Tamandua tetradactyla: one gene and its partners. The protein of the gene in region 1 interacts with the protein of each later gene in a biochemical or structural test. Links are inferred from orthologs where the notes say so. Each region holds a gene or a part of one and is shown in the gene's direction. Other genes may lie near its edges. The genes, in order: CRYAB, SNCA, CCND1 and gamma-crystallin F.

What was found.
Region 2: the proteins of CRYAB (region 1) and SNCA form a complex in vitro, tested with the Homo sapiens proteins (4 studies listed by BioGRID, with this or other methods). The link is inferred for Tamandua tetradactyla from reciprocal best matches to the Homo sapiens genes CRYAB and SNCA.
Region 3: of the proteins of CRYAB (region 1) and CCND1, one has a biochemical effect on the other in vitro, tested with the Homo sapiens proteins (2 studies listed by BioGRID, with this or other methods). The link is inferred for Tamandua tetradactyla from reciprocal best matches to the Homo sapiens genes CRYAB and CCND1.
Region 4: the proteins of CRYAB (region 1) and gamma-crystallin F form a complex in vitro, tested with the Homo sapiens proteins (3 studies listed by BioGRID). The link is inferred for Tamandua tetradactyla from reciprocal best matches to the Homo sapiens genes CRYAB and CRYGD.

What each region holds. Positions count from the first base shown.
Region 1 is NC_135334.1:29,334,034-29,341,761, forward strand, and holds the start of CRYAB (alpha-crystallin B chain), read left to right. Parts: upstream 1-4,714; 5' UTR 4,715-4,793; intron 4,794-5,002; coding exon of another isoform or gene 5,003-5,096; exon of another isoform or gene 5,097-5,213; intron 5,214-5,542; exon of another isoform or gene 5,543-5,799; intron 5,800-5,913; exon of another isoform or gene 5,914-5,981; 5' UTR 5,982-6,180; coding exon 6,181-6,381; intron 6,382-7,469; coding exon 7,470-7,592; intron 7,593-7,728. Other genes in the region: C8H11orf52 (uncharacterized protein C11orf52 homolog), read right to left, coding at 530-618; HSPB2 (heat shock protein beta-2), read right to left, coding at 4,054-4,508, 5,003-5,096. UniProt on the Homo sapiens protein: May contribute to the transparency and refractive index of the lens. Has chaperone-like activity, preventing aggregation of various proteins under a wide range of stress conditions.
Region 2 is NC_135350.1:36,700,807-36,707,906, forward strand, and holds the start of SNCA (alpha-synuclein), read left to right. Parts: upstream 1-4,080; 5' UTR 4,081-4,211; intron 4,212-5,291; exon of another isoform or gene 5,292-5,439; intron 5,440-5,687; 5' UTR 5,688-5,712; coding exon 5,713-5,833; intron 5,834-7,100. UniProt on the Homo sapiens protein: Neuronal protein that plays several roles in synaptic activity such as regulation of synaptic vesicle trafficking and subsequent neurotransmitter release.
Region 3 is NC_135335.1:4,930,180-4,937,531, reverse strand, and holds the start of CCND1 (G1/S-specific cyclin-D1), read left to right. Parts: upstream 1-4,348; 5' UTR 4,349-4,582; coding exon 4,583-4,780; intron 4,781-6,349; coding exon 6,350-6,565; intron 6,566-7,141; coding exon 7,142-7,301; intron 7,302-7,352. UniProt on the Homo sapiens protein: Regulatory component of the cyclin D1-CDK4 (DC) complex that phosphorylates and inhibits members of the retinoblastoma (RB) protein family including RB1 and regulates the cell-cycle during G(1)/S transition.
Region 4 is NC_135329.1:183,592,215-183,599,546, reverse strand, and holds gamma-crystallin F, read left to right. Parts: upstream 1-4,318; coding exon 4,319-4,327; intron 4,328-4,408; coding exon 4,409-4,651; intron 4,652-6,601; coding exon 6,602-6,874; downstream 6,875-7,332. UniProt on the Homo sapiens protein: Crystallins are the dominant structural components of the vertebrate eye lens.

The sequences.
Region 1 (7,728 bases):
ATGGCAGGCAAGAAGTCTACCTGCTGAGCCACCATGGGCCACCCACTTCTGCCCTTTTTAATGAACATTTCTCCAAAGTTGATTTGCTTGATCTGAGAAGCAGTACTATGTAGTGGTTAAAAATCTGGACTCTACAGTCAGACAAGCTTGGGTTGGAATCTGGGTTCACTTAACAAGCCACGTGATCTTGGGCAAGTTATTTCTTTAAGCCTCAGCTTCTCAGCTATAAAATGAAGGGGTGGGATATGACCATTTACCTTTTAGAGTTGTTGTAAAGTGTCTGGCACTTAGTAAACTTTTAAATGCTGCTATTATTACTATTATTATGTTTTCTAAGCTCTCCTGAAAGGAGTGAACATAGTGCCTGTGTGCTGGAACCAGGAGGTGCCAGGCAGAGAAAGGTGACAGAGAACCAGCCCCCGGCTCTTTCTTGCTCATGCATGTAATGAAGGGGGTGGTATTTTCCTCAGTTTGGGACCTCTGTGTCCATCATCAGAGATGTTACCCTCCATTCTTAACCCCTACTCACCATCTTCCCCCACAGCAGATCTGGTTTCCCATGGTGCGCTGTCTCGGAAGGAGCCCAGCTGTTTTCCTACAATATAGAGGCTTTTGCATTTCCTGGTTCCCGGTCTAGCTTTCAGTGGCAGCTCCGGGGGTGGGGGGAGGGGTGGGCGGTGGGGGTGGAGGGTGTCAGATTTCAACCTAGCAGGTTGGACTTCGGAAGCCACCTGCTGGAAGGATTCCCAGGTGGCTCGGTTCCCAACCAAAGGGTGGGGCAACCCAAACCCAGCTTCAGGTGAGAGTTATCCCACTTTAGGGATTTGGAGCTTCTTTGGTGATGCCATAGACTTTGAGCATCAAGCTTCAAGGAAAAGAAACCTGGGATAGAAAGGGGCTCCGAGTTTCCTTTGGAAATACTTCTCTACTACATTTCACTGTCTTTAAATCTTACCTTAGGTTTCCCTAGCACCACCCAGGTTTAATTGAGTTTCTCTGTCAAGGTAATTGGTGCCGGTATCTTATTATTCCTGTCCAGAATCTGGGTTTGAATACGGGAGTGGCTTACCACCTTGAATTTAGGGAAATGGATTCCTTTTATATTCTTCCTGGCTGTCAGAATTAATGTGAGCATATTATCTAAACTTTCAAGGTTTAGGTTCCTAGGACTATGAAATGAAGAGCTGAACTCGTTATTTAATCCCTTTTTTGGTCTAAGATCATGTGATTCTGATGGGATTGGCCTCAGCACTTCTTAACTGCTCACTTCCCCATCCCCAGTATAGAACTACAGAATCTCCACCTAACCCCCAACCCAGCTTCTCCTTCAAAGGATCCAAAATTGAACTCCCTCCACACTTACCAGCAGTGAGGATGCCGTCATGCAAATTCCTCTGCAGAAAACATGGACTCTAGAATTTTTGAAACGCCCAAGGCTTATTTCCAGTGCTCGCACCCCCATCTTTGGTATCTTCTTTAGACGCCCGGTTATTTGTGTGCCCCTTATGGATGATGAGGACTCAGCATTACACTCTACACAGGGCATAGTCTGAACTCAATTCCTATCCATATTCTCCTCTAAAAGTGACAACCTTATAGGATACTAGTGAAGATTAAATGAGATGATGTGTATAAAGCTCTAGATCTCAGGAAATCTTAGGTATTATTATTACTTTTTGTTCTCAGCTTATTGTCAGATGGAAAGCATCTTATTTTATTATCTTGTGCCTGGATCACTAGCCTCTTATCTCCCCTATTGTGTACTCTATTGTGTACTCTGCCATTAACTGTATTCTTTTCATCCTGTTGCCACCTAGGTCAGAAGCCATTAATGGTTTCTACAGGAAAAAGTTCAAACTTCTTAGCCTGGCACTCAGAAGCCCTTCTCAATCTGTTTCCTTTCCAGCCACATCCTCTGTAATATAAAAGAAAGCATCTAAGGTATTTTAGATGACCAGAAACTCCAAAGGAGCTAATACTATGTTGTGGTAGTCAAAACATCTGATACACCTTAACCAGCATGAATAGAAGTCTAGAGATACTAAAAAAGTGCATTGATTATTCCACTGAATTCTGTATCAGTCAGTCCATGACTGGAATAATTTTAGATCTAGATGCTGAATTTCAAGTTGAATTTCAAGTCATCAAAAGACAGTTTGTCAGGGAAGGCTGTCTTTGGCAGTAACTGATATGGAATTTGCCATTAGATAGGATTCTAGGTATATTTATCTGGGAAAAGGGAAACATTAGGAGGACATTAAAGATGGTTATCTTTAAATATCTGAAGAACTTTCAAATAAAAGAAGGATAGTATTTATATTCTCGAAATAACCGGAACAAATGGGCAGAAACTACTGAAATTCAACAGAGGGAAGAATTTGTAATAGATATGTCCCCCCAAATAAAGTGGGTCGCTTTATAAAGGTCTACATTCTCTATCACTCAAAATGTCCCAGCAGAAGCTGACTGAAAACTGAAAAGAATTCAAATGGACTAAATCGGGTTTTCAAAATTTTCCCAGCTAAGGATTCTTTTAAATAAGGAACATGTAAACACCCCAATTATAAGATCAATGCAAAACTGTTCTGGTTGAAGTTTGACTAAGGACCTTTTTTAAAATTGTTTTTCTTCTCAACTAGATGTTAAGATTCCTGAGAATAGACGATAAAAGACCGTATTTTAAAATAATTCATATTTGCAACGTATAACTCACATAGTGTATTTATTACTTGGGGTAATGTAAATATTTGTTGAATGAATGAATTAAAAAAAAGAATCAATAAATAGTTATTTCTCTGAGGCAAACCTTTAATCAATCATTGAATTTCTCAAGTGAGAAGTATATCTGTAAGTATATTCATGAACGCATGAATGGATCTCAAGAGTTCTGTGAACCTATTCAAATTGTAGGTCAAATTTTGAGTATCTGTATTTTTCTGGGAAAAGGGTATGTATTTACAATTTTTGTCAGGTTTTCAAAAGGGTCTGTAACCCAGAGGTTAAGAACCACCACTTTAATGGAAGAATTTCAGGTATCCACCAGAGTTTGGTAAAGGAAAGTTCTTCTAGACACTCCCCAAATCATATCCATGTATGCTCTCTTCATTACAGAGAATTACTGAGGGGTTAGACCCTTAGGATTTCCTGAATACCCAATACCCTTAGTTGTAGGACTCCAAGGAGATATTCCCTGGGAGTCACCACTATCACAGTAATGGCTCTAGATTCCCTACATTTTGACTTGGATTGAATGGGATGATGCAGTGTTGCCTCTCTTTTGAAATGTTCCAAGTTTGGGGACCAAGGCTTTCTCTTATGGGCCTCCTCTGTGCAAAAAGTGGGAAGACCTTAGGATTTGGTGAAATGGTAGAGGCTGTGTGTCTGTGCCCCTGTGTATGTACTGGCAGTCCCTCGGAATCAGAAGCCATTTTTAGTAGACAGATCTTAGTATGGAAAAACAAAGTATTCATCCCAGGGCTTTCCGCAACTCTCTCTAGCCAGTCACTGTTTTCCTAACCCCTGCCCAAAAAGGGCCAGACAGTCTGGAGACCCCTAGTTTTTGTGTCTCTAATCACCAGCTCAGACAGTGCCCTCTGGGCTGTTTGGATGGCATATCCTTTTTCGGTCCCAGGATCACAATCTCTTTTGTTGCATTGTGAGAAAACTGTGGCTAGGAATTTGATCTAGAGCCAGTGCCAGCTTGCGGCTATGATCTCAGCATCCAAGTGTGAGCTCAGGGTGCTGTTGTATTGGGTACATCTATCTGAAGAGCTTTATGTCTAGTTAGCTATAACTTCCTCCCTCCCTGCCCATCCCATCCTTCAGGCTACACAATAGGGAGCAGCACAGACAAGGCCCTGAGATTTGGGTTTATTCAGCTCCACCCAGATCTAAGCCAAAGGCTATGACATGTCCCAAGGGACCACACCATACATTGTGGACAGTGCACCAATCCCTTCCCCCAAGGATGCTGCTACCTCTGGGGTTGTGGGCAGCTGTTCCTATCACCACAGGAGGTAGAAAGGGATCTGCTAGGTGCTGAGTCTGCAGCAATCAGGACTCCACTCTGGCCGCCTCCTCCTCGTCCTCTGGATCAGGAGGCGCAGGGAGCAGGGAGATGTAGACCTCATTGACCTCCGTGTCCAAATGTCTGCCACCCCGAGGTGCCTCCAGGTTAAGGATGCCATCGTGGGATAGAGCAGCCCGGACCCGCCAGGGGTCGACATCAGCAGGCAGGACATAGGTGCGGCAGAACTCTCGTGACACGAAGCCGTGGCGGTCCAGGCGCTGGGGGTGCCGGGCAGACACCTCCAGAAGGTTGTCCACAGTCCTCACGGTCACCTCATCTGGGGTAAAGTGGCTCACATCCAGAAATGCCTGGAACTTGCCCTCACTGAGCCTAAGCTCAGAGGCCCCTGCCCTGCTGCCCTCCCCAGCTCGGCTGGCCCGTGGCCGGACATAATAGCCATGGTAGAGGGTGGGCGTCAGGATCTCTTCTGGCAGGAGGCCTGAGGGGCACAGAGAGAGAAGAGAAGAGTCAGAATGAGGGAGGAGAGGTGGGGATGGGGATGGGGGGTGAATGAGAGGAGACTAGGAGATGAGGAGGGACTGGAGGACCAGAAGAGGAGTTAAATAGGGAGAGGAAGGGAGAGGGACACAGTGAGTAGGTGGAGGAAGAGGAAGTAGCCAGAGAGAGGGGACTGACAAAATAAATGAGATAGGGGTGGGGAGGGCAAACCAAACTAGGACACGGTGGATAGAAGGGGGACAAAGAGAAGATATCAGCGTTGCAGGTATCATGTCTTTTCTGAGGTCAGGAGGAAGGAGAAAGAGCCCTACTGGGGGTGGGGGGAGAGCGGGTAGAGCAGTCTGGGATGGAAGATGGCTCGCCCCAAGAGTTCAGTTAAGCCCTTAGTGGGGTGGAGGCCAGTAAAGTTGGGAGGTCTGCCCAGAATTTCAGTAGGTGGGGGTGGGAGGCAAGGGGGCGGCGTCTGTGCCATACCTTCCCCGAAGCGCTGCTCACTCAGGCGGCTCGGGTTGGCAAATTCGTACTCGGCGGTGGCCGGGTGGGCATGTGGCACCGAGCGACCCGACATGGCTGCAGATGCGTTGGCGGCGCTGGTCGGAGGTGCAGCCCCTCCAGCTGTCTGAAGAGCCAAGGCTCGGTCGGAGGTGGGGGCGGGGTCTACAACACCCAAAATAGTGCCGAGCCTCTGAGGGAGGGACGGGAAGGGGGGCCCTGAGTGGGAGCAACGAGTGTGTGACTAGTGCCTCCCGGACCCCCAGTCCCCTCCCCCCCGCACACCCTTTAGCTGTCGCAGGGTGCCTGAGAGGACAGCTGGGGGTCCTGGCTCAGGAGTGGGCTGGGGGAGGGGAGGACAAGTTGCTGCGTAGCTGAGACCCTCGCCAACAGTCTGCACGTTTTCCACACTACCCATTCTCCTCCCCAGTCGCAGGCACGGTGCGCCGTACTTCAGACAGCACCCCTAGATTTAATGTTTTACGAGGCTTGTAGGTTGAAAGATGCAAGAAACTTTTCTACCTTTTCCGTAGTGTCAGTGCGGGGCTGGGTGTGGGTGTCTTCCTCCCCAGATTAGTATTAGGGTCTTCTCCCGAAACCAGGGCAACCCAGGGCACCATGCAGATGCCTGGCACGGGCATGTTGGTGATCACTGCTCTTCTCCAGGGACCCACAAAGAGTTAATGTCCCTGGGGCTCAGCCTAGGAAGATTCCAGTGCCTGCCCAGGCCCAAGATAGTTGCTGGCCCAATGCCTCTGGCATGTGAGACTGGAGAGGAAAGGAGAGAGGAGGGGCACACCACTGCCTGCCTGACATTCTTGACACTGTCCCAGCTCCAGAGAACAGAATGAGGGGTGGGGAGTGGGGGTGCTGCTGTTAGGTGTGGACAGGAAAGCCAGTGAAACAAGACCAGGACAAGTCACTGGCCAGCTCAGACCTGTTTGTGTTTCTCTTTTCTTAGCTCAGTGAGTATTGGTTATGTGTCACACTGCCAAATCCCCATCACAAGTCTCCATGAACGGGTGGCGAGCTAGGATAATAAAACCCCTGACATCACCATTCCAGAAGCTTCACAAGACTGTGTATATAAAGGGGCTGGCCGTAGCTGAGGCTGAAGGAACGGACCAGCCAGCTGAGTCTTCACACTCAACCTAGTCACCATGGACATCGCCATCCACCATCCCTGGATCCGACGCCCCTTTTTTCCTTTCCACTCCCCCAGCCGCCTCTTCGACCAGTTCTTCGGAGAGCACCTGTTGGAATCAGATCTCTTTCCAACTTCTACTTCTCTGAGCCCCTTCTACCTTCGGCCACCCTCATTTCTGCGGGCACCCAGCTGGATTGATACTGGGCTCTCAGAGGTGAGTCCCCTCTCCCTGCCAGAACAGGAGAGTTCTTCCTAGAATATTCTGGAAACTTCTCCACTTTCCTCTTCCTCCTCTGTGCTTAAACTGGATTATATTTATATCCTAAGTATCCAATAGTAAAGAAAGATGAGGCTACTAACATCTCCCTCCCCCAGTTACCTGTTTCTATATGATGTTCTTCTGCATCCTATTTATTAGTGTACAATCTTTCACAATCTTTATGCATGATAAAAATCATCCTTTGTCCCCTAACTTCTAAGCAGGATGTCTCTTCTCTGGCTTGGTTCATAATGATGTGAAAGGAGAGAGCTGCCTTCAGACTCCTTTGCTGACCTCTTCTAATACCTCATTGTCCTGACTAGGAGAGAGTCCTACCTCGTCTTGAGCTTTTCATGCCCACTGGGTGGAGCTGGAGACAACAGCTATTATTTTCTTCCATTTTATTCTCTCTTCTGTGGTTTTCCTGACTTCTCAAGGGCTGAGGCAGGGCATTGGCCCAGGTCCAAGCCTTATGAGGAAGAGGCCCCCCACTTGTCCTAGGAGGGTCAGAGAAGGATGAACAGATAGGGTTGACAAAAGCTGCCACAGATAATACCTTGGTTTAAAAATAATCAAGTGTGAGTGAACAGGAGCTGAGTGGGCAAGGGCTTTGGAAGGACAAGCAAGACCAGCAGAACATTCCAGATTGAGTGGGTGGGAAACTTGGCAGATTTATGAACAAGAAAAAGGGGCCTTTGTCTCACAAACAAATGACAAGGCCAGGCATTGGGGTCAGAGAGACAGCTGAAACCATGCAGGCCATTCTTGTGACTGATTGTGTTCCCCTGGGTGGCTCTGTCTTCTCCCTTGTCCTGGTAAATAAAGTTTGAGCCTGATGACCAAGTGACCAAGTCGTATGCTTTGAGTACCACTGTGGTGACTCCTTAAGCCAGAAAGCCATGTTTATTTATTAAAAAAGGGATTTTTAGCAGAAAAGAGGCGGTTAAAATAGCCGGACAGAAAGCAATTCTTTAGAATGATGAGACTGCACCAGTCTTTCTACCATCTTTTCCATTATCCCCTCCCCACTTTGCTATTTCTAGATGCGCCTGGAGAAGGACAGGTTCTCTGTCAACCTGGATGTGAAGCACTTCTCCCCAGAGGAACTCAAAGTCAAGGTTCTGGGAGATGTGATTGAGGTGCATGGCAAACATGAAGAGCGCCAGGTATGTAGCTTGTTTTCTCTTCTGCTCATTCATTCAGTGCCTACTATATGCCAGGCAATGCCATCAACCTCTGAGGCTGGCAACATTCCAATCCGAAGCCGTAAGGGTCTAGACCAGGGTCACAAGTCAGTAGCTA
Region 2 (7,100 bases), on another chromosome or scaffold:
GGATCTCAACTCTGCCACATGAGAGCTGGGTGATCTCAGCCTCAAAGTTACATAATAAAACTTAACTTAGTCCTCTGTTATGATTGAATGATACAGTGTGTTAGTCTTTTGCAAAGCAAAAAGTACCATATGAAGGCATGGAATCATCTTATTTATAAAAATGCACACACAAAAAACCACCCCAAAATAATTCTACCAGTGGTCTGATATAGGCCCTAAAATACTTATCATTTTAGTCACTCCTTGACTTAATATATCAGTTCTCAGTATGTGTCCCTGATAAACTATAAATATGTCATATGAAATCATATATAAAATAAGTATCATAATAATTTATCATGGTAGGTAGCTATGTTGAGTCACAGTGGAAAATGTTTATTGTTGGCAGGGGAGGTCCCACAAATGTGAAATTGACTATGAATGGTCTTGCATGCTTTTGGTGAGGGGTGTCTTCTTGCAGGACTTGGGAAAGCAGAGAACAGAAAGGGGGCACCAGTTTATTGTGTTACTAAGATTGGCAATTGCTGACAGGGTAATTTTTCTATTCTACCATTCTACATGCATATCCACATGCTGCATTTAAGGTTCACAGAGCTTAGTTGAAAATAAGATTTAGGATTTATACTTCAGAAAAGAAAAGACACTTTTCAAAACGATTCTTTACAAGAGGGTGATTGATTTTAATCTAGATTTTCTATCCCTTTATTACTTGATCTGTTTTTTTCTAAGTGAGAGAGAATAAGGCTAAGTCAAACAATGTTCTGGTCAATTACAGTCATGATTTAACTCTGGCATAAGAAGATAGAGCCAGTGTGTTGCAAGTGAGCATCCACTAAGACCCCTCAGAATCATCACAAAGCTAATGATCTGGCCTTAAAGGATTAATTTGGGGTGTTCTGATTCACCCATCCTTCTCAGCTCTCCTCTGGAGCTCTATGTCTGGCATCTGACAACTTTCAGGGCTGTCTGAATTCATCTGCTTGTGTCTTAATGGAAGATACTATCTCCTTCTCCATCTCCTCCCCACCTCACCTTCAGCAACTTAAATATGATATTCCCACACTTTTATTATTCTTTCCTTCCCCATTTTATTCTTATGTTTTATTACAGAGATCCATTCTCATATCTGATTCAAATTGGTATTTGCTACAATAGTACATTGTTTACCTTTGATCTTAGACATCCATGACCAGTAATGACCAAGGGAAAAAGGTTGAAGCTATCACATTCTAAGTCCAATAAGTTGTATACAAGGAAGGAAGGAAGGAAGGAAACAAGGAAGGAAGGAAATTTATTTTTAATTAAAGTCAATCCTAACAGAAATCTGAAATTGAGAATTGGAAGAAACAGTGAAAGAGTATCAAACACCACAATGAGATGTGGGTTACCACTACATTCCATTAAGGTGGCTAAAGGGAAAAAGATTTATAACCCAAATGTTGGGGACCATGTATAGACCAGAACTCTCACACATTTCTGTATGAATGTAAAATGGTACAACTACTTTTGAAAATGACCTGGCAGTTTCTTAAACATACATTTACTGTAGCGATTCCATTCTTATGTATTTACTGAAGATAAATGAAAGCAGGTGTCTGTAGAAAGGCTTGTAAAGAAGCTTCATAGCAACTTTATTCATAATTTCTTCAAACTGGAAACAACCTGAGAGTCCATGAACAGAAGGATGGATTAAAATACTTGGTAATATTAATGCAATAGTGCTTTGCAAAGCATAAATTATCATATAGAGGTGTGGAATCATGCTGTTATGAGACGCACGAAAAGTAACAGCTGCCCCCAAATAACTCTCCCCTTCATCTGCCATGGAGCCTATAAAAATCAACCAGTTCCAGTCATTCCTTTAATTTAAAGCATTAGGTCTCAAGAAGGTCTCTGTTAAAATGTAAACGTGTCATCTCAAATAATTGATGAAATCATTATCTTAATAGTCTCTCAAGAAAAGTCACTGTGAAAATCACTTTTTATTGGCAGTCATAAGGGAAACAATAAAAGGCAAATAAAAGAAACAAATTTCTGAATGAAGTTTGAATGAACCTCACATACATTATGCTGAGGGAAAGATGATAGATACAAAAAAATTATCTTGTATAACCTTTTATGAAATTCTAGACTATACACAACTAAGAAGGGGCAAAGACAACTTTCTGCATCTTCAAAATGGTGTGGATTACACTAATGCAGAGATTTTTCAAAACTGGTTTAAAGGAACACTTAAGGTCTGAGCATTCACTGTATGTAAATTATACTTCAACTTAAAGAAGATCATCAAATGTCATTGTTATTTTTAATAGTTCTTATATTTTATGGAAACATGCTGAAAGATTTACAGGTAAAAAAATTTATATGTAATGCCTGGGATTTGCTAAAAATTGTAAATATCAGGACAGAATGGGTCTGAATTCCACTGAAAACTGTGGGAGTTGTGTAATAGTCTCTACCTGGGGATACAGCTGAACATTTTCCATAATAAAAAAAGGTGAAAAAAAAGGGATTATCTGTGTTCACCTCCTCATTATATAAGAGAGAAAACTAGAAACAGAAGGAGGCAAAACCACCCTTAAGTTCTCAAAGCCTGGTTACAAACTATCTCCCAGGTGCAACCTTCTTTCTCTGTATCCAGGAAATACAAAATATATGTAACTGTTTTTCTTGAAAGGCTGCTTTTAAAAACGGCACACCAATAATAAGCCCTTACGTATTTATGACCTCATACTTACTTTCTTCTCTTCTTTTTTCTACCGAACACGCGTGATTATATATACATATATATATATATAATATTCACACATATCGTTTGCTTTCTGTCCTTTGAGATTTCAAATGATTGTTTCTTGATTGCATTTCGAGAACCCAAACGAGGCAAGGATCAGAGAAATCTTTGTTTCTATAAAAAAAAAAACAGCAAAAACAAACAAAATAATTAAAAACAAAAACAAAACCATATAGCGAAGACTTGTTTTTCCCTTCCAGGGCTGAAATCATCCTCCCAATCCCAGCAAAGGAAAGCAAAGACATTCTGCTGAGGGAGGAGCTTAGTCTACTGTGATCCAAGAACAGCTCCCCCCTCCCACCCCCAGCCCCACCCCCGCCCCAGCTCTAGAGAGGTGAACATGTATTAAGCGATGCAAACATTGTCTTGCGGCGCGCTCGCGTTTGTGTGTGTGTGCACGGGTACGTGTCAGCTCCGACAGCAACAAGGACCAGAAGTCAGAAAGGTGTGTGGTGCATGAAGTCTCATCTTCAGAAGGGACCGAAGAGGAAATTGGATATGATGGTCCAGCAGGGCACACCAGGCAGCTTTTGTTCCCTCCATCCAGATACTTGGGTCTGGAAAGTAAATCCCACTTCAAAAGCGAAAAGCTTGTGATCACTGGTTTTCGACGGCTGGGGAATATTTATTCCTTGTGCCAGTGATGGGAAATTCAGCGTCTGGCAGCCTCTGATTGGTGGAAAAGAAAATGGTGATAGTGGGGTGGGAAGACGATTTGACAAGCTTCCTCCTACCTCAACCTGTAAGTCTTCCTTAGTCTCATCTCCGCTTGAGGGTCCTTTCAGGCTCCTCTGGGGTTGGGAGCAAACGAATATCTGAAGCTATTTGAACAAAAGCAACCGCTGGTCAAACTTAAGCTCTCCGAGGGAAACGTGCTCTCGCAGGTGCAGATATAAGCATCTTTCCTAGGCTGCCTCTCTCCCCAAGAGATTGACTCGGACTTTGGTGTTCTATCCCTTAGGCCCCCGGCTCCCGAGGTTGGATCTGGCGAGTGGGTCCCCAAGAGGAATCTTACAGAAAGGCAGAGACAGGGGAAAAGGGCGAATGGAAAAGAGGGAGAGACATTAGCCAGAGGCCAACCGCTTCGGAGCCTCCCAGTAGTTCCGGTGACCCTGTACTTGGGGTGAATCGCACTACACCCTACCTTTCCGCCTTGCAGGACCAGGCGGGCCGCTTCCAGTTGGAAGGATAACTCCACCTTTCCCCAACCCCCCAACGCACACACAAAATCGAGCCAAGTGCACGAGGCAGGGAAAGCAGCGAGCTCCGGGAGAGGGGCGGGGAGAGGCGCTGACAAATCAGCTGTGGGGGCGGTGAGCCGAGGAGAAAGGGGAGGAAGAAGAGGAGGAGGACCACGCGCCAGAGAAGGGGGTTGGAGAAAGGGGGCGAAGGAGCAAGCGCGGCGACGTAGCAGAGTCAGGTATGTGCTAGCTTTGGAACGGTCCCGGGGGACCGAGCCCCGCCTTTAGCATCCTTCTGGCTCTCTCCCGCCTTCCCTTCCGACCCTCTGCTGTTTGTTTCTGAGCCTCTTGTGCTTGGAACCGGGAGTGGCAATTTGACTACAGGTTCGCGAGTTCGCCTCCCACGCCCCCAGCCTCTTGTCGCTGGGTTGTGCTGACTGCAGCCTACTCTGGGGACCATCCCTCTCCTGGTGCCGCTTGCGCCCTTCCTGTGCGCTCCGTTTCCTCTCTCTTTCCATTTAAATAATATGTGGGAATTGTTTAGCTAGAATAATAATAATAATAAAAATTTAAAAGCAGGGGTTGGAATCAGAGTTCAGGAGAAGTGTAGGGGCTCAGGTAAGTTCCTGTAGCTCTAAACGGGCTGGGAGCTTTAGGAATCCTGGAGAAGACCTGGTGGGAAAGGGGTGACGTTACCGTGGACGCCTGGGACCGGGCTTGGTGCCAAGGTGAGCACCGGCTGTGTCAAGTCTCTGGACCGTGGATGGGTTCTTATTCCTTTGGTGAGCTTGAGGAGAGTAAGTTGACCTGGCTTTCCACATGATTTCCATATTCACCCTTTCTTCCCAAAGGCTGAGAGGTCCGGTCGCTTCCTCGCGGTACACTTCTCCTTTGGGAACCGCGAGGATGCTTGTTGGAGCGTGTGCACCCAACTTTTATTTCTCTTACTTTAAATCCCTCAGTCTGCCCTCTGGGTTTCTCTTGTAAAATAAGCAAGCTGTTTTGGGCGAATAATTAAATGGAAGTGCCGGGAGGGCAAATCAACAGGTGGTAAGGGATTAACAGGTGCGTGTATTGGCCTTCCCAGCCCCAGCCCGCCGGCGGGTTCGCGCTGAGAACGGTCTCTGCCGTGGCGCTCCTGGGTCGTGTGCCCGCGGGTGTGAACGGCGCCTGCTCTGGGCTGATAGCTGACGGTGGGGGTGTATGGTCGGGTAGATTAGAGCGAGCTGTTGGCCTGAGGGTCAACCACACCCAAGTGAGTAGTTCCCTTGCCTTTGCTCCCCAGGATCAATTTGGCAGTCCGCTTCCGACATTCATTTTAAGGATTCCCTCAGGCGCCCAGCTTCCAGCTCCGTTTCTTTTCCTGTGGTCTTCTAAAAGTGCTTGTAACTTAGTCACGGTTTTTTTGAACCCTGGGAAGTTGAAAGAGGGTTATAGCCTTTCATGCAACTCCACTTCGGAAAAGCTGTAAGGGCAGCTCAGATGATTCATCCTAATCCATATTTAGACCCAACTAAGCGAGATGGATAAGGGATGCTAAATATTTAAAGCAAAAGCTAAAGGGCGGTCTTGTCCGATGGTTGAAATGAGTGCACACTTGAAAGTATCTCACACTGTGGGGGAGTTCTGCTAGTTTTTAAGTAGTTTTACCTTTGGAGGTTTGAATTTTGTTTTACCAGGATGTTCTCATTCGAGGTGTATTTTGTTTCCTCTAGTGTGGTGTAAAGGAATTCGTTAGCCATGGATGTATTCATGAAAGGACTTTCAAAGGCCAAGGAGGGAGTGGTGGCTGCTGCTGAAAAAACCAAACAGGGTGTGGCAGAGGCAGCAGGAAAGACCAAAGAGGGGGTTCTCTATGTAGGTAGGTAAGCTCTCAATGCCATTTTAGTATTTATTCATGACCGATGGATTAGGATGATTGATACTGTAAATGCTGAAAGGCTGGTATGCTTTGCTTGATTCATGTTTGCGTCATCACTTGTGAAAAGGATGAACTTAGTCAGGTATGAGTGGGTAGGTAAATGTGTATTTCAGCTACTAGTACAAAATGGAGCTAATCTTTTGCTTTTCCTGATTATTCAACTTCACAATAATATTGAAGGTTTTTTGTTTCTTTTCTAAGAAATGAATGTTTTTGTGAATAAGTGATTATATTTCAGATGACAGTTTTTAAAACAGCATCTTTAAAAAATCAAGAATATCCTTAAGAAACAAAATGATTTATTTTTGACTTATCCTCATGATTAATCTTCCTTCAATTTTTGTATTATTTTGATATTAAAATATGACTTTACTATGGCCTCAGATAGGTGAAAAAGAGACCTACTATCACCTCAAAATAGAAAGGACAGATTAGTCTCTCATGAAGTTTCCCTTTGTAACCATTTGGTAGACTGGAAATTAAGAACCTAAGAAAATACTTGAGTGTTATTATTAATATCTCTGAAACATAAATATATTTTATTTCTCAATTGACATATAATAATAAGGTTGATCCTTATCACCTCTGCTTGTTCCTAATTCCCACAGTGGAGTTTTCACCCAGACCAGAACCCTCATTTATATATAACTAGGAGTGTATTAGGTTGAGTCTTATTTTATAAACCACTTGAAGTTCTTTTGGGAAAGAGTGATATACGAGGCATTCACACACTCACACTCACACACACACACACACACACACACACACACTGCCCATTCTTCCTCTCCTCTTAACACTCTGCTCCTGTGAACTTTTCCACATTCTTCAGTGGCAGTTAGGACAGCTTTAGCCACAGGATGAGCCATAAAGTAGAGGATGAATTTACTGAAATTTATATCAGATTTTTTTTTCTTATTGTTGCTCATAGACTCCTTTCTATGAAAAATTACTTTTTATTCCTCTACTTTAAGATATATTTTCAGGAAATCATTGCAATAAGGAGTGTTACATGAGAAAAAACCTTGAATGAGTTTAAGTGTTTTGTGAAGTGTGAACTACATAACTTTAGGTGAAATTTGCAATACTGAATAAATGACACACAGATTATAGGTACCTTTACATTTGCCATAAATTGCCCAACTTGTGCAAGTGCACTGTAGTAATTTTGGCTTGAGTTACTTTATAACTTTAAAGATTTTCTTTGAGG
Region 3 (7,352 bases), on another chromosome or scaffold:
CCTTTCACTGATACCAGTGGGTTACAATAGGTTATTACGCCGGCAGCACAACTCTGCTTAGTACGTAAAAGAGCAATCCCTCCGGGCGGGGCGGGGACCGGCTGGGCCCGCAGGCGGGACCTGAGCGTCCGCGGCCCGCACGCATTAGGTTCTCCAGCGCTCGGAAGCCGCGGGTGCGCGCCTTCTCCAAGCCTTACGGTAGGCGCGGCGCGCAGGGCAACCACGTGGCTGGGGAACCGCGGCCGGGCGGGAATGCGCGGAATGCAAGGCGCGTCCCCGCTCGCTCCCAAGCGGGTCAGAGCGGCGCGCGCGCGCTCTCGCCTCCCGCGACACCCTGGCCTGGCCGCCCAGCGCTGGCACCCGACAGACTGAGCCCTGCGTGGGGCCCACGGCAGGTTTTGGGGGCGGAGCGCGGACCGACCGACCCCTCGGGCCCCGCGCGCCCAGGTCCCCCTAGTGGATCCCGGACCCCCGCCCCCGCTGCCAGACCCCGACGGCGCGGGCCGGTGGGAACCCAGGGGAGGGATGCAAGGCCTTAGCTTTGCAACTCCCCTGCCCCCGAGCTTGGGAAAAGAAAGCTCCCTCCACATCCCCGTCCGAGAAGAGTGTCGCAAGCCCCAGAAGCCGGAGGCGCCCCTTATAACGACCCCGGCCGCCCCTCCATCCATCTCAGGGGCCGAGGCAGAGGCTGAAAGCGCTCCGGGGCCAGATCTGGGGCAGGAGGAAGACGGCTGGAAGAGCGCGGGGTGCGGGGCGCGCGCGCCTTGGAGCCGACGTCGGGCTCGGCGCGGGTCCTCCGCCTGGAAAGCCCCGCTGCGGAGTCGCCGCGGCCGCAGGTTTCCGAGACCCCCGCGGGTCCCCGAGCGGCGCCCTGCGCCCCTCGCTTTAAGTGTGGGTGCACCGAGGCCGTTACCCCCACCCCACCAGATTTCTTTGCCTTGGTTGAAGGTGGTTTACTGGGCGCCCACTCCCCGCCCCTTTTGGCCAGGAAAGGCCCAGGGGCCTGAGTCGTGAGCCCCAGGGAGGGGGGCGTTCCTAGTTGGCTTTGGGGTTCTTATCGCTCAGGGTGCCGGGCGTGGAGGGAGGTAGAATTTTCTTTGACCCCCCCAAGAGTTTGCACCTTTTCCCTTGGGATCCCAAAGATGTCGTTGGGCCCCAGACCCCCAGTGTGACCTGCCCAGGTTCGCTTTAACTCGCGCACAACTCGCCCGCGGCCGTTAGAGTTGGGGGAGTGGGGGCGGGTACCCGAGTTGTCCGAGGGGGCGGGAGCTGGTGTGAGACTTAGGCGGAAACGTACCCCCGCAGCTCGAGGCAGTGAGGTGGGGGTGGGGTGCGGTTACCCGGTTCCCAGCGTACGGCTACCCTGTCCCGCAACGTTGAGACGCTCGGGGACCCGCGCCGCGTAGGCCTGGCCGAGCTGTTGCAGCACGTGGCCAACCGCGAGCACCCCAAAGCGAGCAGCTTTGGAGAAGGGGAGCCCGAGCGCCCCCGGAACCTCGCGGCCGGCACTCGGAAGCATTCTACAGCGCTACTTAAGGGCTTAACAATGGAAAACTCGCGGGGCGAGAGCCAAGTCCTTTCAAGTCGCCGCCAGGTATGCGGCTGCAGGTGACCCAACCTGGGTGCGCCCGCCCGCTAGCCCGCCTTCCCGATCCTCCCGGAGGAGGACGAGTGCCCCTCCCATGGGTTCATCACCCCACTCCCCAAAGCCCCCTGTTGAGTCGGTGCGCAGCCGCGGTGCGTCCCAGGGTCGGTCGGGTGGCGCGCCGGTTCCTGAATGAACGCGCTCCCTTCCCCCGCTGAATGGAGGTTCCCACAGCCAGGGACGGTGGCAAACACGTGTCTGCCGCGGAATTCGTCCTCTCGGGGCCGGCAATCCGCCCCAGCAGCAGTCAACGGCGTGGGGGACCCGGGGGCAAGGAGAGCGGGAGGCGACTTAAGTTACTTTTGGATTTTCTTTCAAACCAACCTGGTTACCCTCCCGTTTGGGCCACCGGACCTTTGTCTCCCAAATGGTCACCATGAAATAAGCATGGAGCACTTTAAACAAGTTCAGAGTTCGCAGTTCCTGCTTCGTGGTGGGTTTTAAAAAGACAGTGAGAAGTTGAAACTGCAGGAGAAAAGTTTTTGCAAAGTTACTTTTCTCTCTTCGGAAAAAAAGAAATGAAAATCAAAACGCGCCCTCGGCTCTCCTCTAAGCGATCGCACCCCCCCCAACTCCCACCCCCACCCCCCAGGACTCGGAGCTATTGGTTCCCTCGGGAGACAGGGGGTGCCGCTTAGCAGGGCTCACTGGGATGGAGGCTGGGCGCTTGGCGCTCCCCGCCGAGCCCCAAATTCCAGGGCCTCCCCCGCGTGTTCCTGGACGGCTCTTCACGCTTGCCCGCGGGGCTTGCACTTTTGCGCTGGTCCCTGAGCGGGGACCTCAACGAAGTTGCTGGTCGAGATCTGCCCGGTCCGCCTAGTAACAGCGCCGCGCCCCCATTGGCTCATGCTAATTCCCGTTTCCTCTGCCTTTCTCCCGGCTGGGTAGGGGGGAGCTCCCTGCTGCACCCGGAGCCCGTTTTGCCGGAGTGGGCGATCCTTTTTCTGCGCCGCTACCCGTCGCCGTCGCCGACCGGCCTCGCGCTTCGGGCCCGGCCGGGGCGCACGCGGGGGCTCCAGCCCGCGAGCCCCTGGAGACGGGCGCTGTCCGGCTATAGCGCGCGGCCCCATAAATCACCCGGGCAGCCGCCGGGTCCGGATTTTATGAATGAAAAAGCAGCCTCGCCGCCTTCGTGCGCGGGCCGTGGCTCTGCAGGCTCGGCGGTGCCCGGGGAGGGGGGACGGCGAAGGGTGCGCCGTGCTGAGTCCACCCTCCGCTTTGAAGGCGTGAGCCCGGGTAATTACCCTCCCAGGACCCGACCTAATAGTCACCCTAATTCCCGGATGGGGGGGGAGGGGCGCGGGAGAAATCTGCCCAGCAGGGTGGTATCTGATCTCGCCGCGTGCACCCCTTCATCCGTTTTTTTCTGAGCTTTTACTGCTAGGGATGCAGTGGTTTTACAGCACTCAGCTATATTCAGAGAGAAGTAAATGAACAATTTTCCTAATTTGAGGCACACTGTAAAAACTGTAAAAAAAAAATGAGATGGAGAAATTCTTTTTAAAGGCACCAAAGAGACGGTCTATACTTAATTAAAAGCACTTTGTGTATTTTATTGTGGATTCATCTTTCTTCAGTTTGAGATGATATGGAGGGCCCTATTGTTATAACCGTGGTTTGGTTAAAAAATCATCAATCAATGCACCCACTTTTTAAATTTACAGTTGTCCTGGATTTACCAGCCCCCTGCCGACCACCGCCTCAGGCTCACGAAGGCGGTCCCAGGGCAAATTCTAATGGTGAGGGGCTGTCCACTTGCCCTTCGAACGCAACTAGAAAGTTCCGGTGGTCTCCTGGGTGGAGAGGCGATTGATATTTCCAATTATTTAATTTCTTTTTCAATTAAAAAAAAAAAAGATGAGGCAGGACAGAGACCACTGCTTTGCAACCTTCCATTCAGAGGTACTGATCTCCCTGTTCAAATGCCGGAATTGGGGTAGGCAGGGGGCATTTGGAGACCCCGCGAGGATGGGCTTGTCAAGGTGGGAGAATGCCGCACATAACCCGGCCAGGAGGACACAGGATGAAGGAAATACTGGCCACCATCTTGAGCCGCTGCTGGAATTTTCGGGGATTTATTTTATTTATTTATTTTTTTTGCGTGAGCCCAGGCGAGGCTGAGATAGGTTCCTTTAACTTTTACCGAACCCTCTTAGGCATTTCTATAAGTGCCTCCCGGGGCGCCGGAAAGAAGCCTCAACCCGGGCTTGCGCCCTGCCCGGCGTCCTGGCATGGTAAAGAGTTCCTGAAATTTACACGTGTTAATGAAAATGAAAGAAAATGCAGAAGCGAGATTGCTCAGCCGTCCCTCCGCCCGTGGGTGCCCTCGTGGCGCTCTCCCGGCTCGGTAATAGGGTGTCGCCGAGCCCCAGACCCTCCTCCATGCGGTCTCCCCCGACTGCGTGTGGCCTGCCCGCCCTCCTAGTTGACCCCCTCTGCAGCGCCATCCCCACCCCCCCACCCCCAAATCCCAGGGACCCACATTAGCAGAACGGGCGCCCCCTGCACCCCTCTTGCCCGGCAGGGAGAAAGACGGCCGCGGGGTGATTTGCATTTCTATGAAAACCTGGCTTCGGGGGCAACTCCGCCGCGGGGCAGGCGCGGCGCCTCCGGGATGGCTTTTGGGTTCTAAGCCCGCGCCCCCTCCCCCTGCGCCCGCCCCCGCCCCCTCCCCCTCCCGCTCCCATTCTCTGCCGGGCTTTGATCTCTGCTTAACAACAGTAAACGTCACAGGGACTACAGGGGAGTTTTGTTCGAAATTGCAAAGTCCTGGAGCCTCCAGAGGGCTGTCGGCGCAGTAGCAGCAAGCAGCAGCGTCCGCCGCGCTCCTTGCGAGGGCCAGAAGCCGGCGAGGGAGCGCGGGGCAGGCAGGAGACGCAGCGCGCGCGCCGAGCCCGGAGCCCACCGCGTCCCAGGCCGCCGAGCAGAGCCGGCAGCATGGAACACCAGCTCCTGTGCTGCGAGGTAGAGGCCATCCGCCGGGCGTATCCCGATGCCAACCTCCTCACCGACCGAGTGCTGCAGGCCATGCTTAAGGCCGAGGAGACCTGCGCGCCCTCCGTGTCCTACTTCAAGTGCGTGCAGAAGGAGGTCCTGCCGTCGATGCGCAAGATCGTGGCCACCTGGATGCTGGAGGTGCGTGGCTGCTGCGAGGGGAGGCCCATTTGAGACTCCTCAGCAACGTGTTGCCCAGATTTCTTTGCCCCTCGTCTGTTCGCCCCACTGTCCCACCCCGGCTTTGAAGTTTGCCGGGGTGTTGTCAGCAGTCGGTAATTTCCAAATAAATCGACAGCGTGGGTAGTTTTTGAACGAGGAAGAAATGGGGGTGGGGGCGTTAGAAGTTCCCTTTCCTCCCGGAGGGGGGTCGGGCGAAGGGTGCCTTCCGGGGGAGTCAGTGCCCGGGGCACCCCAGTGAGCCCGAGGGTGCGGGTGGGCAGGCCGGGCGCCTTTTGTGCCCCCCTCCTGGGCTGCCACCGCGCAGCCCCAGCCTGCGCCCGACTTTTCCTGCGCCGCCTCTCTCGGCCGCTTCGGTCCCGAGCCACCGGCTCAGGGAAAAGGGGGTATAGATTTGATTTTTAAATTAATATCCATGTACACGTATGCAAGGGCCGCCCGTGCCAGTATTATGCGCCATCTTTGTTCTTTTATTGCAAAGCAAAAGTGTTTATTAATAATTGGGGGGAAGGTGGGGGCGGGGAGCGGCCGGCAAGGCGCTGGGGCCGCCGCGAGGGGCCGCGCGGTCCGCGGAAGGGGTGCGGGGACGGGTCGCTGGCAGCTTTGGGGGGGACCCCGCTCGGGAAGGGGGCCCCTTTTGTTCAGGCGGCGAGCCCCGGGGCGCCCCGCAAGGCCAGCCTGGGCCGGAGAGCACGCCGGGCTGCAAGGTCGCGTGGCCCCTAAGATGCCCGGTATTGACCCCCGTCTGTCTGGGTGTCGGCTTGGGGGTGCTGCCCAGAGCGAGCCGGGGACCTGGGGCACATTTTCAGGCCTCCTGGGGACGCCTAGGGGGCCGCTAGTATTTTTAAATAATTTTTGAAAGTGCGGTGTGCTGCCCTCGCGAGAGAGAAGCGGAGCCCGCGCCTAGGGGGAGGGGGGCCCCCGAGTTTGAATTCCTGGGGCTCTCTGTGGAGCCTGCGACGAGCTCCCGAAGCCTGGACTGGGTAAAGGACCGCCTGAGGGTCATTTTCAGGGGGGTTTTATGTGGCCAGTTTTTTTTTATATATTTTTAAATATTTTTTGAAAAGATGACGTCTGGGGAAATGCGGCGCGGCGGCCTGGGACGCCACCTTTGTGTCTCGCGGGCGCGGAGAGCACGGCGCCCAGCTCTACGGCCCAGCACCCCATTTAGTGGCGGACCCCAGGCCAGGCGCGCTCCCGGACCCCCACGCGGGCCGGGGTCCCCGGGGCCGGGCACACCGCACCACCGCGCGCGCCGCAGCCCTGCCCGCTCGTGTCCAGACTATGCCAGCCTCGCAGGGACTTTCCCTTTCAGTTTCGGGGTGGGTGTGTGGGTGCCCGGGGCACGCCGGGGAGGGGGCGCATCATGGGGAGCTCCTGCCACCCCCTGCCCCGGCTCTCTCGGCGCGCGGGAACCGGCCGGCCTGGGCGAGCGGGGTGGGGGTGCAGGGTGGCGGTAAAGGGGTCCTGCGCGTCCCGGCGGCGGCAATCACGGACTCTCCCCCACCCGCCACCCCGATACCCCGGCAGGTCTGCGAGGAGCAGAAGTGCGAGGAGGAGGTCTTCCCTTTGGCCATGAACTATCTGGATCGCTTCCTGTCGCTGGAGCCCGTGAAGAAGAGCCGCCTGCAGCTGCTGGGAGCCACCTGCATGTTCGTAGCTTCCAAAATGAAGGAGACCATCCCCCTGACGGCCGAGAAGCTGTGCATCTACACTGACAACTCCATCCGGCCAGACGAGCTGCTGGTACCCGTGGGGTCCCCCACCCACTCACCCACCCACAGCCACCCCGTGAACTGCAGGCGGCAGGGGTCCCCCGCCCGGCACTGACAGGCCGTATTCCCCGAAGGAGGGCAGCCACACTGTCCCGGAGCTGCGCTTGGAGGAGGAGGAGGAGGAGGAGGCGGTGGGGCCCCAGGCGCCCCGAGTCTTCGCCACCCCCACCCCCACCCCCACCCGCACCACACTTTCCCTGCGGCCCACTTTAGCGCCCCGCGGCGTGGCCGGTAAATGGGCGGCGCGCGCCCTCTTGCGGTGGCGGCGTGCGCTGGCCGCCCGCTAATGAATCAGGACTTTTCCTTCCAGATGGTGGGAGGTCTTTTTGTCTCCACTTGCAAATAGTTGGCTTAATGGGAATGCGAACAGGAGCCGTTTCACGCGGCACCTTCTCTGTTTTGACCTGAGCCTTGCCCCCACTTCCCAGATCCCTCGACACCCCACCCCCACCCCCAGGGCTGCCCCCCAAACCAGGGTGCTGGCTGGGACCCTCGGCTGACCGTTGCGCCCCTTTCTGCCTTGCTCCCCTCCACCCCGCGTGCCCAGCAAATGGAGCTGCTCCTGGTGAACAAGCTCAAGTGGAACCTGGCCGCGATGACCCCGCACGATTTCATTGAACACTTCCTCTCCAAAATGCCCGCGGCCGAGGAGAACAAACAGATCATTCGCAAACACGCCCAGACGTTCGTCGCTCTGTGTGCCACAGGTAGGGGCGGGCTAGCGCCCACCGTGTGCTCCCCGGAGGGTCCTCAGGCAG
Region 4 (7,332 bases), on another chromosome or scaffold:
CTTCATGAACTAGAAAGGGATATCCATGTATTCCTGATATTCTCACCTCCAGGTTATTCTGTTTGAAATCTCTCAGCTATTGAAACTTTATTGTGTCTCATTTCTCTCTTCCCCCTTTTGATCAAGAAGGCTTTCTTATTCCCTTGATGCTGGGTCCCAGCTCATCCCCAGGAGTCATGTCCCATGTTGCCAGGGAGATTTACACCCCTGGGAGTCATGTCCCAGTTAGAGGGGAGGGCAGAGAGTGAAGCCACATCTGAGCAACAAAAGAGGTTCCCTGGGAGGTGATCCTAGGCATAATTATCAGTAAGAATAAGCTTTGCAGGAATAAGCTTCATAGGGATCAGCCCCAAGACCAAGGGTTCAGCTTGTTGAATTGGTTGTCCCCACTGCTTGTGAGAATATCAGGAATTTCCCAGATGGGGAAGTTGAATATATCTTCCTTTCTTCCCAGTCCCCCAAGCGGACTTTGCACATACATGTTTATTTTCTGTGCAAATTACTCTGGGATATTCTGGGACATCATACTAACCTGTACACACCAAAAAGATCTCACTCCCTATTCAAGATTCCATATACTTTATGGTGTTCAAGTAAACTGACCATACAAGTTAAATTAGATAATGTGTTACCCAAAATATAAATTTTGCACCAAATAAACATCTTTTCCTTTTATCTCACCCAGAGGGTGAAGTATGAAAATATGGGCCATATCATCCTTTACCCAGTATTCAAATTTACCTTAGTCCTATCCAGATCAGCTTCATTCATATCTCTAGATGAAGTCTGATCACTTTTTCAGCTTTTTAAACAGTTGCTGAATGGGGTAATGCTGATTTTCATAGCTTCAGTGCTCTGACTTCGAGTCTCAGGTGACAGGACCCACTTTTTATAAGGGATTCTAAGCCTGGGCACCATGATGGGCTTCAGAATATTTGCAAATCTCCTAAAATTATATGCAAAAGTTGAGTTCACAGATTTCTAGTCAAATCCTTGGCCACTGAGGTGACCATGCAACATTCTTCTAGCCACTGAAACATAAATGTAAGAATGCTGGTCAGGGAGGGGCAAGGGATAATTCTGGAAAAGCTTTACCTTCCTGAGGAAGAGGAAACAGCTGCCCCTGATTCCACAATTGCTGATTATTTCAGCCATCTTGCAACCAGGAGGTGACCAATATGAGGGAAAGACCATGAGAATTTCAGAGTACCAAAGAAAAAGAAAAAAGATAGAAAAAAAACCGGGTAGGCCACGGTGGCTCAGCAGGTAAGAATGCTTGCCTGCCAAGCCCGAGGACCCGGGTTCGACTTCCGGTGCCTACCCATGTAAAAAAAAAAAAAGAAAAGAAAAAGAATTTCAGAGTACCAGGAGTAAAAGAAACCCATTACTGTTTAATTCACTATAATTGAATGTTATGTTATTTGAAGCTCAATACATTTATGGTTGCTATACACTATATATGCATTTTTCTAGGAAGACTGTCAGAACTTTAAATGGAGACTTAAAGGGTTCCCTGATGCAAAAATGGAGGAAAAAAAAATTGAACAGTGAAACCATAACATGTTTTAGGCCTGGAGATCATGTAGTGCAGATAACTCATTTTATGGAGGTAAACCTGAGGTTCAATTCTAATGTCATACAGTCAATAATAGAGGTGGCAGTAGAATCCAGGACTCATCGCTCCCAAATCACTGATTTTCCATTATGGAATTAGGGAGATTCTTGTTAAAGTAATGACAGTTCTACCTTACAGATTCTTTGATGCAATTTTATTAAGGTACATTCACACACTATACAATCCATCCAAAGTATACAATAAATGGCTCACAGTATCGTCACATAGTTGTGCACACATCACCATAATCAATTTTAGAACATTTTCATTACTCCAGAGAAGAAATAAGAATAAAAAGGAAACCCAAAACATCCCTTACCTCTTATCCTCTTATACTACTGACCCCTAGTATTGATGTGGTACGTCTGTCACTGTTGAAAGAATATTACCGTTAACTATTGCACATAGTTTGCAATAGATACATTTTCCTCATACACCCCTGTATTATTAACTCCTCGTAATAGTGTTGTACATTTGTTTTAGTTGATGAGAGAAATTTTTATATTTGTACAGTTAATTACAGTCATTGTCCACCACAGGATATACTGTGTTATACATTCCCATGTTTTAACCTCCAGCTTTCCTTCTGGTGACATACATGACTCTTCCCTTTCCACTACATTCACCCACAATTCATTACTGTTAATTATACTCACAATAACATGCTATCATCACCTCTATCCATTTCCAAACATTAAGTTCGATCTAGTTAAAATTTCTGCACATATTAAGCAACCATTCCCCAATCTCTAGCCTCATTCTATATTCTAGATTTTATGTCTATGAGTTTACCTATTATAATTAGTTCATATTAGTGAGATCATACAAAATTTGTCCTTTTGTGTCTGGCATAATGTCCTCAAGGTTCATCTATATTTTCACGTTTCAGAATTTCATTCTTTCTTATAGCTGAATATTCCAGCATATGTATATACCAACTTTTGTTTATCCATTCATCTGTTGATAGACAGTTGGATTGTTTCCATCTTTGGGCAATTGTGCATAATGTCGCTATGAACATCATTGAGCGAATGTCTGTTCATATCCCTGCTTTCAGCCCTTCTGGGTCTATACCAAGTAGCCTGCAGATTTTTACTATGAAGCAATTTCAAACAACCAACCAGGAATTGAATGAAATATATCGGATAATTCAAAGCTGCATTTTCTCTCTTGCTCATTCTCTCTGTATGCGCATGTGTATACATACACACACACACTTATTTCTGAATGGTTTGTTTTTATATGAGACTATGGTTTAATTATTTTTCTTTTTTACTTCTCTATAGTTTCCAAAATTTCTATAGAAGTTAGAGTTCTTACAAGCAAGAGTTGTGACTGAGGCTTATTAAACTTTTATGGATCAGATGAAATTTGTTCAGAGAAAGCTATTTTTAAGTTATTAGGTTTGTGTAGCAGGAATCCAAACCAAAGAATGAGATAGGGAGTCTCAAGGTTGTATCTAGTTGAGGGTTAGCTTCTTTTAAAGCAGTTTTTAATGAAGGACATTTCTTCTTCACTCTCCAGGGGACATATGGCAATGTCTGGAGACATTTTTGATTGTCACTACTGGGTGGGGGTGGGGGTGCTCTAACGTTATGTAGTGGAACAGAGACCAAGGATGCTGCTAAACAGCCTATGGTGCACAGGACAACCCAACAGAGAATTTCTTGACCCAAAATTTCAAAATCTTACCATAGTTGAGAAAGCCTGCTACTAAAAGGAGTGGAAAAAGCACCAAGAGCTGCTGGGAGGATCTTTGGGGGAGAAAAGAAGTTCCAGTCCCTGGAGCTGGGTGGAGCCTTAGCAATCGAGGCTTATCCCAGAGATCGTGAAGGGAGAAAAGGTAGAAGTTTTACACGATTGTGGGATTTGGAATTTTGTTATATTCACACTTTTACTTGAATCTTTCAGTAGCCAAAGCAACTAAACTTAGCATTTAGCAAAAATATTAAGCAGAAAGTTACAAGTGTCAGTAAGAATTGTGAATGAGTCACTTCATATATTCCAAAGTTGAGGATATCATTGGCTGTGCGGTGGAAGTATCTAAGGCCAGGCCCCTCAATCTCCTGATGTCAGAATAAACAGGGCTTCCTCCAGATCCAACCACCTTCTCTTCCTTCTGCAGGTGTTACTGAGGAAGCAGCTTGCTGATATGCAGGTAGGGTCATCGAGAGGTTCTCTCGAAAGAGAAAATCTCATCCTACATTAAACGAAAAGGCAAGTTCATTCCAATGTTCTAAATTTTGACACATACCCCCAAAAGTTTTGTAATTGAAATGCCTTATGCTTCAGCCCATTTTGACCTCAGACTTGCCAAATGTGAGTTATTCTAAAAACATTATTTTGAAATTTAAAAAGCTAAGTAAAATATTTAATTACAATCATCAACTTGGTTAAGCGCCTTTGTTAAATCCCAATTTCCCAAATAAGCTTCCCAAAAAGGCCTGAACAGCACCAAGAGAAGGTTTTAACCAGGGTCATCAATTCGAAAGCTCTGGAAAGTCTAAGAGGACACGTACAATATAACCCCCACAGTCATTAAATAGAAAGAAAGAAAAAAAAGGAGAGAAAGAGAAAAATCCCGTTCTCACTCCCGCAGGCCCCTTTTGTGTTTTTCTTGCCAACGCAGCAGGCGCCCTTGCTACATAACCCCGCGCACGGGGATCCGTGTCACACCGAACTCCATCGTCCGCTCAACCAGCCATGGGCAAGGTGAGGCCAGCGTGGGGGCCCCGGGAGCAGCAGGGCCTGGGAGCCAGGCCTCTGAGTCCTCTCCTCCCCTTGTCCTTGCAGATCACCTTCTACGAGGACCGGGGCTTCCAGGGCCGCGCCTACGAGTGCAGCAGCGACCACTCCAACCTGCAGCCCTGCTTCAGCCGCTGCAACTCCATCCGAGTGGACAGCGGCTGCTGGATGCTCTACGAGCTCCCCAACTTCTCGGGCTGCCAGTACTTCCTGCGCCGCGGCGAGTACCCCGACTACCAACAGTGGATGGGCCTCAGCGACTCCATCCGCTCCTGCCGCCTCATCCCCCACGTGAGTCCAGCTCCACCCGGGTCTTTCTGTGCTGTCGAGTCACGCCAGCTCTCCAGATGTGTTAGTCATACCACAAGCGGCAGGATGGTAGATCTTTTTCTGGCTCCTACTGTATTCTCTTGTCCTTTATTAACATCTCCAGGGTTTCTCCTCCACTGAAAAAAATATTTACTTTGCTAAAATTAAATTGACTTCTACTGGGAATAAACAGTGCAGGGTATATTAGCTCAGAGTGTCTACGGGGGGCGGATTAATAAACAGGAGATTAACTCCTTACCATCCAGTGGCCTGAAGTTGATTATTTAGGCTTTGTCTCACTTTCCTCAGCTGTAAAGTGGGGCGGATAAGAGTAGCTAATATAGAGAGAGGGTGGTGAGGGGGAGGAGAGGAGAGGGGGAGGAGAGGAGAGTTCCTGGCACCTGGGGAGCCACCCCCTCCCCTAAGTAGTAACTTTGTTATAAGCCTGAAGGTCCTCCGCCTACCTTTTGATTAGACAAAACGAGCAACTAACAATGTGATTCCAGTAACTCCCACAAAGCTCCTGCTACCCAAATAAAGCCCCATCAACCTGATGTTCCCTCTTAGAGATTCTCAAATGGATTCTGAAAACGTCCTATGGAAAATGCACTGCATTTGTGACGATTGGAAACCACTCAGAGGGTTTAATAGTTAATAGGACCCAGACTGGCCATAGGAGCTTAAAAACCCCGGTTTCCAACTGTCAAGTCCTGGCTCTTGTAATTACAGATTGTACACTCTAGTAATGCGTTTACTCATAAAAAAAAATAATAAGACTTATAATGGTTGTTTTGCATATGCTCGACTGTTGTGAAGATCAAATTAGATAATGTTCATGAGACTTCTTTGTAAACCGTGGAACACTGCTCAAATGTGCGATCCCTTATTTGCAGGTTTTTTTATCCCTCAGAATGAATCGCTTGTGAGAACCTTTCCTAAAGAAGGATTTTATAGTATAACAAGGAAGAGATTGAGCCATGAGTACCTACTACGAAAGAACAAAAAGACGAAGAAAAAACAAATGGTCAAAAAAAGAGAGAGAATTTGTTCAGGACAAACAGTTTAGCTTTCTGTTTTTCTTCGTCTTGTGTAGGCCTCCTTCCTGATCTTGCTTATTTTTTTAAAATTACACAAGTATATTTATATTATATTGCCTTTTTTTTTCCTGCTTATTACCTAAAACAGATTTGCTGGAGCATAAATTTGAGCTGAAACTGAAACATTCTTGCTTTTCAGGATTTGAGAGTGGCAGGTTTAAAGAATAAAGGAAGGGATTAAGGGATTGCCTGGGGCAGACTCTCTTCCTGAATTGTCCCCAATCTGTGGCCTCACTTTGTGGAAAGCAATTCAACTTCCTCTCCCCCTGGCTTCCTCTAATGTAACTGAGATTCAAAATGCTTTTTTCGGGGGATCCATTTGTCTTTTTATTTTTATACTTAAATAATTTCATATCATCCAAGTTGAGCTCTAGGTCGCCATGTATTTTTGATGGAAAGAGCAAAACAAAATACATAAAAATCATTATTTAAAAATAATACTGGGGGCAATTGTGGCTCAGTGGCAGAGTTCTCACCTGCCATGCCAGAGACCCAGGTTTGATTCCCAGAGCCTGCCCATGCAAAAAATAATAATAATAATAAAATAATACTGAACAGGGCCAGCACATAGCGTCTATGCAGGTTGTGGCATCAGAAACTCTAGGGTGCACCATTCATATCATGTTAATGATCCCTCGTGAATTGTGCAGTGTACAACCTGCGCAACTATGCATAGCAGCCCTGGTGTTGATGGTCTCTTTCTTTTAAGTCTTTCATTCACCTTTGCTATAGCAAACATAAAGAAATGCTAATTTCCTAGGAAGGTGTGTGATCTGTTGCTAAAATAAGATCGGGTTTTCTGACGTTTCCTCATTTGCCTTTGCGGAACCCACAGACGAGCTCCCACAGGCTCCGTGTCTATGAGAGAGAGGACTACAGAGGCGAGGTGCTGGAGCTCACCGAGGACTGCTCCTCTCTCCAGGACCGCTTCCACTTCAGTGAGCTCCACTCCTTCAACGTGCTGGAAGGCTCCTGGGTCCTCTACGAGATGCCCAGTTACCGGGGACGGCAGTACTTGCTGAGCCCTGGGAACTACAGGCGGTACCACGACTGGGGGGCCGTGACTGCCAGGGTGGGCTCTCTGAGGAGGGTCGTGGATTTCTATTGAAATATTTTTACTCTACCTCTTTCTCTATCGGGAAGCTAATAAAGTATTTCCTGTGTGTTTCATGCAATATGCAGTCCTCTTTTCTGTTCAGGCTTCTTGGCGGACTTAGCGAAAATAAATGTAGAAATAAGATGGGTTTCCTCACACTTATCCCTGGAAAGGGCATTATGGGGTAGGAGTTACCACAGGTTCTAGGTTCCTAGTGCCTGAGTCCAAATCCACTCACCAGCTGTAGGTTGCTGGCCCTTCTGCTTCTGTTTCCGAATTTGTAAAAACAGGGCTAATAGTTTCCACTTTATCGGGTTGTGATATGAATTAAATGAGTGAATATATGTAAAACCTTTATAATAGTACCACGTATGAAATAAATACTTTATAATAAGTATTTGTTACTTAGGTTTTAGTATTGTTGAATATTTGAGACCTTATAAATCAGAACTTTTCCAAGTATCCACAAT